2 linked regions of the Stegostoma tigrinum genome follow. The protein of the gene in region 2 interacts with the protein of the main gene of each other region in a biochemical or structural test. Links are inferred from orthologs where the notes say so. Each region holds a gene or a part of one and is shown on either strand. Other genes may lie near its edges. The genes, in order: nlk2 and myb.

Evidence for each region.
Region 1: of the proteins of myb (region 2) and nlk2, one has a biochemical effect on the other in vitro, tested with the Homo sapiens proteins (2 studies listed by BioGRID, with this or other methods). The link is inferred for Stegostoma tigrinum from reciprocal best matches to the Homo sapiens genes MYB and NLK.

What each region holds. Positions count from the first base shown.
Region 1 is NC_081380.1:37,046,681-37,054,357, forward strand, and holds the start of nlk2 (serine/threonine-protein kinase NLK), read right to left. Parts: upstream 3,301-7,677; 5' UTR 2,968-3,300; coding exon 2,297-2,967; intron 1-2,296. UniProt on the Homo sapiens protein: Serine/threonine-protein kinase that regulates a number of transcription factors with key roles in cell fate determination. Positive effector of the non-canonical Wnt signaling pathway, acting downstream of WNT5A, MAP3K7/TAK1 and HIPK2.
Region 2 is NC_081357.1:43,587,366-43,595,771, forward strand, and holds the start of myb (transcriptional activator Myb), read left to right. Parts: upstream 1-4,798; 5' UTR 4,799-4,890; coding exon 4,891-4,913; intron 4,914-8,406. UniProt on the Homo sapiens protein: Transcriptional activator; DNA-binding protein that specifically recognize the sequence 5'-YAAC[GT]G-3'. Plays an important role in the control of proliferation and differentiation of hematopoietic progenitor cells.

The sequences.
Region 1 (7,677 bases), on a different chromosome or scaffold from region 2:
AAAAATACAATTTTAAAGATGGGTCAAAACAACCTGTCCTTTTTCTCTTTAGTCAAAGTTAATGCAAGTAGTGTCTGGCAAGATTAATTGAGTAAACACTGATATTTCCCCTCAAGCACTAAAACCAACTACAATTTGTCTCAGCTGCAACAAGACAAGCCAGAAATTAAGTCTTCCTGCTTACACTGCATTACTTGTTGCAATGCTTAGCTATCAGACATCAGGATAGCCCAAAAATATGATTTAAAATATATTTATGCAGCAAGCAATGCAAAATTGAATGCAGAAGGTTGCGATTTACTTTAAGGCTGATGGATCAAGAACTACAAATGTTAATGTGTTGGAAGAACTTTATTCCAATTGATGGGCAGTATTAAGCCAAAAGACGACATGTTGAAAATTGTCTAAAATATCAAACAAACATTTTTTGTAATCTTAGAAGACTAATGTAGTAAAAATTAACACTTGGGTAGGGTGAAATTTCACTGCCTTGCAGTACAAAATTTCACATTCAGCAATCAACCATATAAAACTACAACTGCACTTAGTGCAACATCATTAGATATCCTCTCAAACTTCCTTACATGTTATCATTTCACAAGCAATTTTCCCCAGATCCCATCACCTTTTGTTTTTACTGCATTTTCCAGATTTGCATGAACAAAACAGAATGTTTATCTAAATTATTCACAAGAACAAACGGGAGTTGGCCACTGACCATCAAGCTTCATTTTCCATCTTTTCAATTTGTTTGCACTTTAAAAAAGAACTCAAAGTCATTGACATCTAGTTATTCTATTAACCTAGTAAGTTATATTTGCCACCGTAAAAAGAAACTTATGAAGTCAAATACAATCCATCCAAAAAAATTTAACATTTCATTGTAGTTCAAGGCATTTTAAATTAGGGCTGGGATTTAACCATTTTGAGTTAAAATTCCTTGAATACAAAATTTTGGCTTTCTAGCAAAGCCAAACCATATCATCTAAGTATAAAGTAAATTTCCTCAAATGAACAAAAAGGTCAGCAAAATGATTCATAACGTGATCACACTGCTGTATTTAATGTTTTAGGGAAAAAATAATTAACAGATATGAATAAGAACAGGAATTTAAAATAATCTCTCCAGGTACAGGGTTTAGTGACAATCATAAAAATACACCAGCTGGCAATTTATGCCATCGGTTGAATTACTGCATTTCAACACTTCTACAAACTATTAACCCAATCTGCACGAGTACTAGCTGGTTAGCATGCGTAAGGAATAGCGTTCTGTATGAACTATTGCTGCCATTACAAAAATAATTCCCAGCATCATGGAACTGCATTGACTTTTTGAAATTCTGTAAACTCAAAAACTTGAAGGATATTAATTAGGACAGCAAGTTTTTTAAAAAAGAAAAAAATAACTGAACAGTAATTTCACCCTTACTCCTGAAGGGAATGGAGGAATGATTACACATACACAGTAATGGATTTGTTCCTTCAAACTAAAAACATCATTATCAGTTATAGAATAGCAAATTATACGTATCTTTGCCTAAAAAGTGCAGTGCGTCAAACCAACCACTTTGGCGACAACTAAATTACCACCTAACGTGAAGAAAGACCTTTAAAAAATTCCAAGTCAATTTTTAACACTATTCTTCTTCAGCATTTTTTCCAAATAAGTGGAAAATATAATTTGTTTTCGGCAATTTACCATCGCAAAAGGAACAAGATTTACACAGATAACTACTAAATGTTGTTGGGGAGGGGGGGCGTCATACAGCTATCTTTCTTTTCAGGTTTTTTAAATGTAAAGAATAAGTAGTCTCCTATCAGTTGGGCGTCAAGAGATCTTATAATAACTCAAGGATGAAACGGAAATCTGACCAAGCTGCCTCTCTGATTCGTGTCTTGCAGGAAGCTTTTAAAAAAAGCATCTTAGTGACAAAAGCATCTTTCGTGCAGCACGAAAACACAACCAAATAATGAAGACTAATTTCCGCCACCCGCCAAGCAATGTCACTTCATAAAACATTTAGATTATTGACGGTGCAGTACGCCCTATGAGAACCGAGCTCACCTAACCCACAGACATTTGGGGAAGCAAAACATTTTGAAACTCCCTACAAGTTCAACATTGTCAGCGCATTTGAGGAAACACCCAAACTCCACAAAGTTGATAAGCTGTTTATCTGAAGTAAAAGTAATTGGCAAAAAATTGCGACTTTGCTGAAAAACTTATTATTTGAAAATATTATTTTCAACCTGTTAAAACGCTTGGCCAACAAGTCTTGCTCAGGAAACCTACCAGACTACTCCGAAGGCTCCATATCCGATGGGTCTGTCGGGCTCGATATCCAGCTGATGTGCCTTGGCAGCGGCCGCGGCGGCGGCGTGAATCTGCACCGAGGCGGCGGCGGCGGCCGGCGCTGGGGACGGGAAATACGGCGCCTGGCCTGTGTTCAGCATCGCCGCCGCCGCCGCCGCTGCTGCCGCCGTGGCGGCGGCTGAGGCGGCGGCAGACGACGACGATGAAGAGGATGAGGACGACGAGACGGCGGCCGAGCTAGCGGCGACGGCGGCGGCAGCGGCAGCAGCGGCGGCGGCGGCCGGGTGATGGTGATGCTGGACCGGGTGTACCGCCGTGCCGATACCGCCACCTCCTCCGGCAGCAGCGACACCACCACCACCGCCGCCGCCAGTCGCAGCGGCAGCGGCGGTGGCAGTAGCCCCGGTGTGTATTTGATGGTGGTGATGATGTGGTGGCGGCGGCGGCGGCGGTGGATGTTGGTGATGGCTGTTGCTGCTGCTGCTGCCGCTGTTGTTGTGGTGATGATGGTTGTTGTGATGGTGGTGGTGGTGATGGTGGTGGTGGTGATGATGATGGGCGGCCCCGGCGCCGTTATAAGCCATCAGCTTGGCGACGCTTTGGCGCTGCTGCTGGCTCGCCGCCGCCGCCGTGGTGCCGCACAGCGCCATGACCAACGGCCGTACCGCGCGCCCAGCCCGCGCTCCACCGGCCGCCGCCGCCTCGCCGCTCGAGCTCCGCCTCGGCCGCACTCTCCTCGCTCCGTCCTTGCTAAACCATCTTCCAGCAAATTCCACACCCGGCTTTCCTCAGGAAATTCAATAATCCGGATTTTCAACTCCTCGGAGAGAGAGGAAAAAAAAATTCTTCAAAAAGACTTTGGCTTTCACTTCGCACACATTTTTTCTGAGGGGAAACTCCTTCAGTTTTCCTCGGCAAACATCATCGGAAGCATTGTAAAGCTTATTTTTGGCTTTTCTTTAAATATATAAAAAAATAAAATTTGTCCCCCCACCCCCCCCCCCCCAAAGACACCAAGAAGAGAGCAACTAAACACGAAACCCTCGAAAGCCGAGGAGTCCCACCCCCCCCCCGCACTGAATACTCCCTCCCCTCTCGCTCGGAAGCCCAGCCGCGCGCATCCCAACATGATCGTCTGGAGCTTAGCCCGCCTGCTCCACAGACCATCCCCGACCGCTGCTTGATTGACACCATCTCTGTCGAATGGAAATGCACGCTTGCACCACGGAACTGCTGCGTCCAGGTGCCGAGCGTGCTGCAAGGGCGGGTCGCCCCGTACTGCAAGCAAGTTTCGTTGAGCGAACACAAAGGACACGTGATCTACATCTTCTCCCACAAAGCGCAGCGATGCCAGAAAGAGGTCAACTCTTGTATTGATGGGACCCCAACTGGTTAATTGAGAGAATCACACAGAGCGCTAGTGTATCTTATCCTGGGGCTTTAAACCGTTCAAGAGAATATGCTACCTACCCCTCACAATGGAATTCAAAAATAAACTTTTAACTGTGTTTTTAAAAGTTCACCTGTTAAGCACCCTTTCTGTATAATGCATGAAATAATGTAATAAGTCCTGTGCAGATAGATTATCTCCAGTTCTCTTTAGTTTACCATGAAGGTCGAATATGGTAATATTGAAAACTGTGATAACTTGAGCCATTTCTAACCTCTCACTTGTAATAATGCCAAAAGTTATATTTTGAATTAAGCAAAATCTGTGTTTTAATGCTTAGTTACTTGAGACTGATTTTTAATAACTATTGAAGAGAGACATTGGTTACCTAATCGACACAGTTCTACTTAGCTCAGTTTCCAGGTCAGCTGCCCACTTGCATATGTTACTGTACCATGTATGGCCTGGGAAAAGTGGGTCAGGATACAGATGGGCAGAAACATGTATTTGTAATGTTCAGCATGTCTTCATGCAAAATGACAGCCACATCAGCATCATAGGAGAGACTTGCTTTTGTAAGTTAATGTGTGCTTTTGAATTTGTTAGATTGCTAATTGTATTACCACCACATTTATAATTGTGGCAAAATGCAAAATTAAGAACTTTACCCTATTTATTTCTCAACTGTGTAGTAATCTCAATTGTATAATCCACAGACACAGTTTAAAATCTCTCGTGATAATTTAGTTGGAAAGAAATGGTTAAAATTCAGTTTTTTTTTCCACTTATTGTTACATCAATGAAAAATTACCTTTTGAAACTGAAGGCCGGAATAAGGTCCCACTTGTATCAGACATTATACTCAGTACAGACAAAATTTTGAATACTACACTTTCAAGATGAAAATTTCCAAAGAAGCATGTCTGTTGTCAATACATTATTGCAAAAGCAATTTTCCTTTCAGTAAGATCTTGCAGCAATAGAAAATGGGTTACATTGTGATCTGAGTACACAAAGAAATATAATTCTTTGATGAATGATACCTTACATTCATAATAAATAAGAAGGATGATCAGTGTCGTAGAGTTACTAACTGTCATCTCATAATGACAACATATCCAACTAAAAAGCGTTTGACAAAACTTTTTCTATCTCTTCAGGAAAGTGCAAATTGTCACTTGGACACAACACTATCATGATAAAAATGGGTGTACTGGTTTGCTAAACACTGCATTGTGAAAGCAGTGTCCCTTTAATAAGGGAAACAAAAGTAAATGGAATTTGGCTGTTTCCACCACCCCCCACCCGCGCCCCCCCCACCCTCCACCATCCTGTGACATATGGAACCAATTTACCATCATAACAATCATTGTGCTTTGATTGATACATCAATTCTAAAATGGGAGTTTGTGAAAATGATGTAAAAACTACTTACAAATATAAATTATTTTTCTTTGTGTGACAGCTCCTCACGACGGTGATAACTGGTTCCCTAAATTATGTCAGTTAGTAAAGTTCTTATATTATAAATTTTCTTTATTAACCTGGGAAGTGTGAGGTAAGTTGTACTTGAATACCAGTTATGCTTTTTTAATCACTAATCATTCTGTTATGCATTTATGTTTCATTCTATTCAATCCAATTGTTTCATCCTGAAGATACATACACCATTAGAATATTAAGTTGCAAAGCTAGGATAGGTGGCCAGAAGAGGTCATCAGTGAATATTAGCTTTGGCAATTATTGATGAAGCACCCAGCCATCCAAAGTTATTTGAGCCCAACTGTTCAGACCTGAATGATACAGATTGTGTACCACCATCCTACTGCTGAATTTTGAAGACTTCTAATAAAATATATTTGTTTGTTTAAATGTGTGCACACTTTAGGATGCTCCCTTTCAAAGACAAAATAGTTGTTGACTTAATACAAAATCTAAAGTTTGAAATAAATTTATATAGTGGTGTCAGGCATTTGGTAAAATCTAATATAATATCTGCCTGCACAACTGCTTTTACAAAAGGAAACAATTTGCATCTTTATTCCAAACACTGGGGGTAGCTCTGCGATTAAGAACTGAACATACACCACAAGATCATTTGGCAACAAAACATTTGCAAGAAGCATCTGCTAAATGTGAGAAGTTTGAAAGGTGGCACTTAGTGTAATGTACTTCCTAATTGCAGAGAGCAATGTGTGGATCTGATTATACTAAGTGATTTGCTCAGAGGGTGAGGGTAGGCTTTTAGATTTCAATGGGGGAAAAGCCACTGAAGGGATCCTCCAGATCACTGTCATTTTTTTCCTGTTTAGAGAGGAGATAATGACCTGTCATGGTGTTAATTTTTGAAGCAAGGGAAGGAAAAATAGGTTTTCATAAAAAATATTTGTCAATTTATTGAAGAAACAAAACCGGTTTGTAAGATATGGCACCTATAATTTAAGGATAGAAACTTGGCTTTTGAAAATGATCAACGTAATAATGAGACAGACTACATATTAAATTCACAAAAAAATCTGTTATTTCCGAAGTCAATGAGTTGACACAAAAATAAGCATTACTTAGGCATGCGATTCTTTATAAAAGAAAATCAAGCTGGTGAATAGGTATAGCTATTGATGCTCAACTGACTGCAAATCCATGGTGATGCTTAAGCTATTAATTTGGAACAACAAAACACAAACAGTAATGTTAAAAATTAAGTGAGCTACCTGTTTTTTTCTGCAGATAGCCATACAATTATTAGACAGATATGTTAACTTCCTAATTCAGCACAGATTTGTTAAATAAATAATTCTTCCAAAAAAATTGAGATACAATTGTCAGCAGTAATTTTACAATATATGGCATTTACAGGAAATTCTTTTAGAAAAATAAATCTAGGCTGAATTAAGTTGGTCAGTTCTTAACAGACTGGTGGTAAATTGGAAGAATTATTGTTGGTACCTTCTAGTTGCATTGGGGAAGAACCATCTCTGCTGTTCAACACAACAGAGTAGTTTCACATCAAATTAATCCTCTACCCAAATTCCTGAAAGAGTTTAAGCAATGTTACTATTTGAAAATGGCATTAGTTTTCAAACTTTTTTTTACAGAACATTGATTACAGCTCCAGGTAGTATTCACACTGTTTTATCTTCTTTACTCATATTCATTCAGATTTACTCTCAGTTCAGAGTGACAAACTGATATCCTACATTCACATCTCTATGAAATAAATTAAATGAAGCATGTCATTCAATTTGGCAACCAAGGTGTAGCATGCAGTATCAAAAAAATTGTCTCTCTGGGTAGCCACAGAAAGTATTACAAACCTCAACATTATTATCAAGTAGGAATCAATACTCTCTGCTAGAATGCTACCATTCCATGATATCTTACATTGGATGATAAGGATATTATCATTTTCCACGAATAAATCTCATTTGTTTCACAGGTTATATCCTAATTTAAGACTCAATATTGTGATTCTTGATCCACCTACTCAGGAAGTGTTGTCAAATCGTTTTCCTGTTCCCTTTATCATGTTTTTGTATCTATAGTGTACCATCCAGATTGGAAAACAGCAAATGTGAGACCACTATATAAGAAAGGAGGTAGACAAAAGGTGGGTAACTATAGGTCTGTTAGCTTAACTTCTGTAGTGGGGAAAATGCTTGAATGTATCTTTGAGGAAGAAATAGCGAGACATCTGGATAGAAATTGTCCAATGAGGCAGGCACAGCATGGATTCATGAAAGGCACATCATATTCAACTAATTTGCTCGAATTCTTTGAGGACATTATGAGTGTGATGGACAATGGGAAACCGGTGGATGTGGTGCATCTGGATTTCCAGAAGGTATTTGACAAGGTACTGCGTAAAAAGCTGCTGCATAAGATAAAAGTGCATAGCATTGCGCATAATGTATTAGCGTGGATAGAAGATTGGTTAGCTAACAGAAAGCAAGGAGCGGGGTTAAATGGATGT
Region 2 (8,406 bases):
TTTCCCTGTATCACTTGATTCCCTGACTGGTCAAGCCTATCTCAGACTTAAACATACACAAGGACTCTGTTTCCACAGCTCTTTGAGGCAAGGAATTCTAAAGAAATTTCTTCTTACCTCAGTATTACATTGGCACCCCTTAATGCTGAGACAATGTCCTCTGATCGTAGACTCTCTTATGAGGGGAAACAGACTCTCAGGATTTATCCTGTTCAATTTATCATATTTGACAAATCAGATATGAACATCAAATTTGCCACTATTTTATTCCTGTGTATACTATTTTAAATTAGGTGTAAAAGCCTTCATTTTAAACAGGAAAACACTAGTTTATAAAGGCCACTAATGAAAACTGTATGAACATGTCAAATAAACTTTGTCAATCAAAATTTATACCCTTATCAATTCAGCAGGTATAATTGCTAACCTACTTGGACAAAAGGGCAGGTTGAACACTATGATGAAGAAAAAAAATTTAAATGTTGTGACGAGAATCTACTAGTTGGTAAGCTAAGGGTTAAGTGGCCTTCCTTATGTTTCAATCTTGTGTTCACTTAGCTATTACACTTAAACATTACACAGAAACACGACACACAAACTGACTAGTTGGCACAACCAGTTCATGATGGTATTTATGTTTTGTGCAAGATTTATTGATCAGCTACTAGTTTTATTTTGAAGAAAGAACTTGGAAAGATAAAATGTAATTCTCCGAGAATAAAAAAGTGCATCTTTTTAGCTGAAAATTTTTCAACAATAACCTTTGTATCGTATAGAAAACAAATTATATAAAGCTCTACCAGGAAAATATCTATATTATTGGTATGTAAAGGTGCTAACTACAATTGTGATAAGTTCTTCATATATTTTTCACGATAAAGGAAACATCAAGAACAGCAGTAGCAGTTCACATTTGAAAGCAGGTCTCCTAATTTTTGTAATATAACAGGGTGGGGAAGAGAATTTTCCAGCAAGGACAACAGCTGCTTTCCTTATCAAAGCAAACTCTTAACAAAAATGGCAAAGTTGGCAGCACCGGTGATGTTCCATATTTCTAAACTGCCAGACCATCCTTTATCCAACTTATTATTTATTTTCCCTCTGACGGCCGAAAGTCGAGAGATGCTTTCCAGGTCAAGGGTCTGGACTCACGTTTAGCGTGGCTGAATGGAAAGCAAAAACAGGCACCACGGTCGAAGCGAGCAAAAGGCGCCAGCCTGGAGGCGCACGTGGTCCGGCGAGCCGCGGCGCACCGTACAGGTGAGCGGACCCGGGCGCGCCACCACAGCCAAGGCGACGGTCATCCGCAGTCATCGGCCATGCACGCTGTCCGCACTCCAATGCATGCATCCGAGATCCAGCCAACTGTTGACACGGCCTCCCACGCACAGGTTTCCCTCTCACCAGTTAACTCCCCCACCCCAGCCTGTGCTGGCGGGCGCAGCAGCGGCACGTGCCGTGGGCGGGCGCGAGGGCGTTCCCGGGGAAGAACCCGCCGCAATTTGAATCGAGAGGATTCCAGACGTGGAGAAGATTTTGTGAATAGGACCAGTGTGTGTGTATGGTTTGTGTGTATGTAGAGTCAGAACAACAAAACATAATAACCAGCCAATTCTTGAGGGCGCAGAGAGAGACGACAGTGTTCTTTTTATTATTTTTCCTTGTTATTTGATATAAATTCTCATACCAACTCTTCCATCCCCAACCCCCCCCCCCACCCGAACACTACCACCAACCAGCCTCTTTCAGAGGAACGACAACTCTCCTCCCTGCTCGCCCAGCAGCACCCCATCCATCCAACTGCGGGTGAGCGGATTGCCTGCGGCCAGCCCAATGGACACCTCCTTCGGGTACGTGTGAAATCGACAGGAGCGCGACCGTTAGCGGCATCACGTGGCCACGGAGCAGGGTGAGGGCGAGGGGCGGCGTTCCGCCCTTTCCCGGTTCATCGCGAACGGGCAGGTGGGACGGGAGCTGTTAGGGGCTGTTTTAAAAACAAATGCTCTTTCTCCTCCCCTCACCCCTTCCCGGCGACTCCGCGGTATCTCTGGGAAAGGGGGGGGGGCGCGATGTGGGTGTGACAGGTGCTGGGGCAAAGTGTCACCTTCGAAGCCTTCAGTCACCTGGGGTGGGGGGGGGGGGGAATGCAAGAGGCAGTCAGGTGGGCGGTGGATTTTGAAGTTTTCTAAAAATGTTGAGATTGATTCCGGTCAGATTAAGCGGTTGAGGTTTGTTGTTGTGTTATTTTTTCTGATATCCCCTGGTGGGTGTGATGAGGAAATTGTTGGCATCCCAGTGTCCGTGCGGATCTTTACTTACCTGCAGCTCCTCAACATGGGCCAGGTGCAGACACTCACCTGCACTCAAACCGAAAACAAAACAGGAATTATTGCCTTTTCAATAATTAAATGTTGGAAACCACTCAGCAGGCCAGGCACCACCATCTGTCCAAGAGAGAGGGAAATGAGCAAGAGTTAACTTCAGCTTCGCCACTTGTTTCTTTTACCAGGACCTGCAAGGAAATGAGAGATGCAGCAGTACTTTGGCCGATGATACACACCAACTTGCCCATTAGACCCATCGCTATTTTTGACAAGGAACTCCAACATTTTAGTGACCTTCGCTCTTGCAGTATTGCTTGTCGAGTGTGTCACCACCATTTTTTGATACCAAGTCCTGTTATTGCAATCCATTCTGGAAAAAAAAAGTCAAAAACAATGTGACACTGCAACTGGTCACAGTGGTTACATTGTCTGTACATCTAATTTATTTTAAAAATTATAAAATTTGGATATAATTTTTTTTTTCAAGAGTCCTTTTGCCTAAAAGACATAGCTCGGGAAACCTAAGGGGGTGGGTTACAAGAAAGGTGCATCAACTGACGAAAATGCAGAATAACCAGATTGTTTGTTTATTCAGGTAAAGGTAAGATGCCGAAAGCTGAAGAAAAAAAAAGTCGAGGGTAAATATCACCAATAATCAAAAAGAGTAGTGGGGTATTTTGGCATAAAAGAGTAATGAAAAGCACAAGGGGAAAGCAGTGGTAACGGAAATGAGGAAACTAATCTACAAAAAAGAGGAAGAAAGATGACAAACTGATGGCATGAAATACAAGTTTAAAAATTAGCACGAACAAACAACATAGGGAGGGTGGTGGCGAGCATAGTGCCCATCAAATTATTAAAAATGCAAACGGTGGTTGAAATTCCGGGGATCTTCCAAGCAAAAACCTGGTGTGAGGATTTTTGTTTCATTCTGATACAATTGTTGCTAATAACTAAAACATGTAGCAAGTTTAGGCACTTTGCAAAAACAAGCGAGTGCAACCGGTTGCTATAAAATTGGAAATAGGAAACGATTGCGGAAGATATTCCAATTGACCAGGTTTGGCAGCGCTGAGGCATCTGCATTGGAAGTAACAAAAATGCGAACTCGAAAAGATATTTGCCATAATCATAGGGGTGAAAAAGGGATCTTGTGTGAATTTTGGCAGAAATAATTTGCTTGAATGGATCTAAATTAATCAAAAATGTACAATTCCTGATAATTAAAACTAATGCGAATCCAAATGAATTTGGCTATAAACACGAAGCAAATTACAGACCTCGCTATATTTTGTTTACTTAAACATTAAGCAATAGAACGTTAATCATGCAGATAAGTATAGGGAGAAAACACTTGGGAATTGTATTTATTTAAGGGCATTGTTGTTTTCATTTGGCATTTCCTTTGATCTGAAGTTCGTGAGCACTCTGCAGTCGGTCTATAAACGTGAATCTAAAACCTTGTGCTGAAGCAGCACCAACTGCCTTATAGGTTTATTGTCCCGTTGTATTACACACGTGTCAGGAGTGTGCAGGAAAGAGGAAGTATATTACAGTGATCCAAAATTCCAAATTACTTTTGCTAAACTTAAACATCTGTTGGCGATACATCCAAAAAATTTTATTGTTTCAACGTAAATGATATTTAAATTGTAATGATTAGCGAAACATAATCTAGAATATGCTTCGGTTGACAACTTTTAATCTATGAGTTTGAATACACTTTATATCTACCGCACGAAAATAGTCACCTTGTCATAAATTTTGGAATATTCAAAGAGGAACGGGCACATTTGCTTTGCTGTTTTGTTTTAATACTGATACGTTTACGAACAAAGGACCCTCATTTCTCCATATTTAGGTTTCATTGCAAAACTGCAGGTTGCGCCATCTATGGAAAAAGCTCTCAAACTTTTTGTTCAGTTCAAAAAAAGTCATCTAGTCGCGTGAAAAAAGTAACTTGCCTTTCTGTAGGTATGTGTTCTTAAAATGATGTTTTTCCAGTCAAGTTTTCTATTGACTTCTAAGAAACGGTAACTAGGATATAACCTGCCCCTCGTTTTCCCAATTTGTCACTCCAGCAGCATTTCACTAATCATCTAAATGTTGAACAAATTTACTTGGTTGCAACCACCTTGCGTGTGACTTTCTGCGGGAGAAACTGATTGTTTTAGAAGCAATATGGTAATTGTGTAGTTTAGCAACAGGGAACCCCGGGACTGGATTCTCCCAGAGAGCTGACAGATGAAGAACAAAAGCACATTATCTCTAGTTGTTTACTTTGCAAAACTCCTGGTTGGAAGAGATGGAGGCGGGGTAGTACCGGACTAAGCGGGGATTGCAGGAAAAAGGCGGGTTTCACGGAGGACCGCCAAGGTCAGCAGTGCGCCTGCGTATTGCCCTGTCTTTGGTTTGGGCGGGAGATTTGGCGGGAGGGGAGGGTCCAGGGCTTTGTTTGTAGGAATCTGTGTTTACAGATCGTACACTTTAATCTCAATTTGCTTCCTCCTCGTGTGAGTTTGGCTGATCACTTGCAGCGACACTTCTTCCGCACTCTGAGAGGCTCATGGCTCGGCGGCCACGGAATAGGTAACTGTATTATACGTTTTGGTTGCTGCCTAATGAACAAAACATAGATTATTGCAGGAAGAGGAAGAACTTTCACTTTAATTTTATGAGGTTTGCACGCTGAGAGATGACTTGTTAAGCAGAGTGAGACGCTGTGTTCAGTTCCAATACTTAATGCAGCTAAATTGTGAATGGTTCGAATCTTTGAACAGTATGCTGACTTTCTGCAGCAAGCTTTCCAACTGTAATTGAAAAACTTGTTAAAATGGAAATTATATATAGCTTGTCTGTTTAGTATTTCAAGTTATGTGGACACGTTGTAGGATAAGCAAATTTAAAAGGTGCAGAACTTCCATTCATGCGCGCAAGTTCTAAGTGACAAATGACAACAACACTTGTTTACTGTTAAATCGAGAAGAACAATACAATCTTGCAAAATTGATACACAGGTTGAAGATGCACCTTTTAAACGGTATGTTTCAATGTGTCGCCGTAAAATATTGCAGCAGCAATAATAATATTTCTCATCTTGCACCACGTTGTTCATATAGGAAATAGTTGACTGTACGTGTTTATATGTTAGCATTGTAGTTTCTCAGTTGCAACATCCACTGAACCCCGCACGAGTGAGGCATGTTCTAGTTAAGTATGTTATTGACGTAGCGGAATGCTTTCATGCATGAAAAGAAAATAAGTGCATCCAAGACAAGTCAATGAACTACATCATAATTTTATTGTTAGTGCAAGAGCTGGCGGAGTGACACGTGGATTTTAAAATTATTGCAAGCTGTCTGAAACTACCGGACACGAGATCGTGATCCTAATTTTTCGACATAATAAGGTGGTTTCTGGTTGTGTCATGATAAACTGAATTTGGCGAAGGCTGTGATCCAAGTTGTCAAAATTATTGTACGTAGTAACAGTGGCAGAAATTGCTTGGAGCGTTTTCTCCTTTTTGGCTATTCATGCGTGACTAATGTTTGTGGTCTGAGGAAACTGACTGCATCAGAATCATTATCGTCGGTAAAATGTGAATGAAATGGGGAACAATGACACTTACCCCGAGTATGCACTACCAGAAACCATGCAAGTCCTTTTGCACGATGAACGTGTGGAAATTCCATACTGGCCGATTCACTTTATTAATAGAAACTACTCGGCTCATTTCAAAATTTCAGGACTACCAACCAATCCACGGAGTTATGGCATTACTGGAACTTTATTTTTTAATTTATTATAACTAGTGGAATTTTTGTTTCGTCCATGTGCAAGAGTGATTATGAATTTGACGAGTGAGAGACAAGGGCTCAAGTTATTACACTTTAACTCATGACCTGCCGGTGAATAGTTTGCTCGCATTTATGGGTCACTAACAAAACTATATAAAATCTCACTGCTGAATGTTGGGCCGTCATGATCGCGATACTATGAACTCGGCGATATGCATTCGACGTTTAAAAAGTTTGTCTCTTTATTCGGTTTTCACAACGGATTAGTTTGGTATTTTTTCGGTAATGATTCCCAGTAGGAATGGTTGAATAAAACCATCAATTTATAGCTGATTTCCCCATTAGTGTGTTGAGTTTTAAATACGTAATTTAGTAGGCGAATGACACTTCAGTTTTTGAAGATCGTTTACTGTCTGCTTGTAGACCAAATGAATGATGTAACCTCAAGCACTTGATCAGGAAAATAGGACTTCATAAGAGCATCTCAACTACAACAATGTAAATTCCTTTGTTCGCCTGGGGTGAAATGCCAATATTTGCTAAATTTTCAAAAAAAAACGTTTTGCGCTGTGAATGTATTTCTGCTAAGTTTGGGTTAAAACTATCCTGACAGCCAACAGGAAGAGAAATTCCTTCCTTTAATTTGGATTAGGAGCGGCAAATATTTCAGTCTCTGTCAAAGTTGTTTTTATTTGCTGCACATCTGTGTTGAGTTTAAATTGTTCAAATACATTTCTAGAAAGAGTAAAGAAAGTACTTTTGCAAGCAATAAGTTATATTAGGTTGTGTACTTAAATTGCGATAAAGACCTGCTCTGTCAGGGATTAGGGAAAATTATGGCAGGGCCTGAGATTCTTGGTGTTAAAATTTAGGTGATACCAAACAAGAATCAATGAATTGATATTTGAGACATGATATCCCACCGACTGTTTATTGGGGAAATTTGTCAGTTCTTGCTAAAACCACTAGATGGGGTGTTGTGTAAAGAGAGGGGGAAAAAAACAGGTTTGAATTATGCACCTGCTAGAATAATGCCTCCTGCAGACTGAATTTCGAATGGGCGTAGTGAAGTAAATCCAACTAACAGTTGAGACAATGGGAAATGGAGTTTACGAAAAATATGTGCTCCGCTTGTTTTTAAAGTGAATTGAATAACTGACTAAAATATTGTTTTGTCTGTAAATAATAATTCAACCTGTTTGGTTGATTGATACATAAAATTTCTTAACTGTTCTAATACACAATAACCTCTAAGTTTTGAAGCAAAATAATGCATTTAAAACTTTTGTTTAATTTTTTTGTTCAAAGCGGACACCTGAGCTAATGCCGCCTCTTCTTTAGTTTTCCCATGGCATGCATTATACCAATCCACCTCCCATCCAGTTTTGGTCTGAATCTGCCCACTGGGTGCACAAATGAGCAGTGACTGCTTCCTTTAGTTTGCATCCCTTTTTGAAAGAATGTCCTAGACTATTAATTTTTGCTTTCCACTCATGGCAGTATTGAGTCCTGCAATTAGAATTTAGACTATCATTGGATGCAAGTTTGCAGCAGTCGCTTAAGATGTTTGGGGTGTTACCACTGATCAGACTCATTAACAATACGAATACAAGAATAATTCTGAGATTAGGTTTGTCTACTTCCTTTTCCTTGTGTTGTTAATCCATTTCTGGGATAGGGATTAGGAAGAGTTGCTCAAGTCCATTTTTCATACAAACCTTTACAGTGTACTTGACAGACTATTTAATAATAGAGTATCATCTTTAAGCCCAATTGTGTCCTCATCTGATACCCATACACACATCTACAGTAATTATTTGCAGTCAAGAGTGAGATCTTTGTCCAGTTATCATGTAAAAAGCCATGGCTCAACTTTGATCCTTTTGCTGCATCAGCCAAGGCCAGTTAACACATGCTAAATAGTAGAATGGTAACATGCTTGGTTTGTATGCTTCAGTTGAGCATGAGATAAACCATTTGGCCGGGGTGGGGGGAACACAAGCAGAGTTTTACTATAATAAATTAACTTTTGAATGTCTTACAAATGTCTACTGCAGAAAGAATTTGTAACAAATCTTTATTTGGACTGACATTTCAAAGTGGACAAAAATCTCAAGTCACCTGCAATTAAACCATTTGTGTTCTAGATGTATGTATGGTCAAGTTATTCAGTATGATGGTATATTGTGCTTAATGGAAATTTCTTGTGCCTATACAGGTGAATATTTTCACTGATTCATTAGGTCTCCTTTACAAGTGTTAGTTGTAAGCATATTTATCTAGCT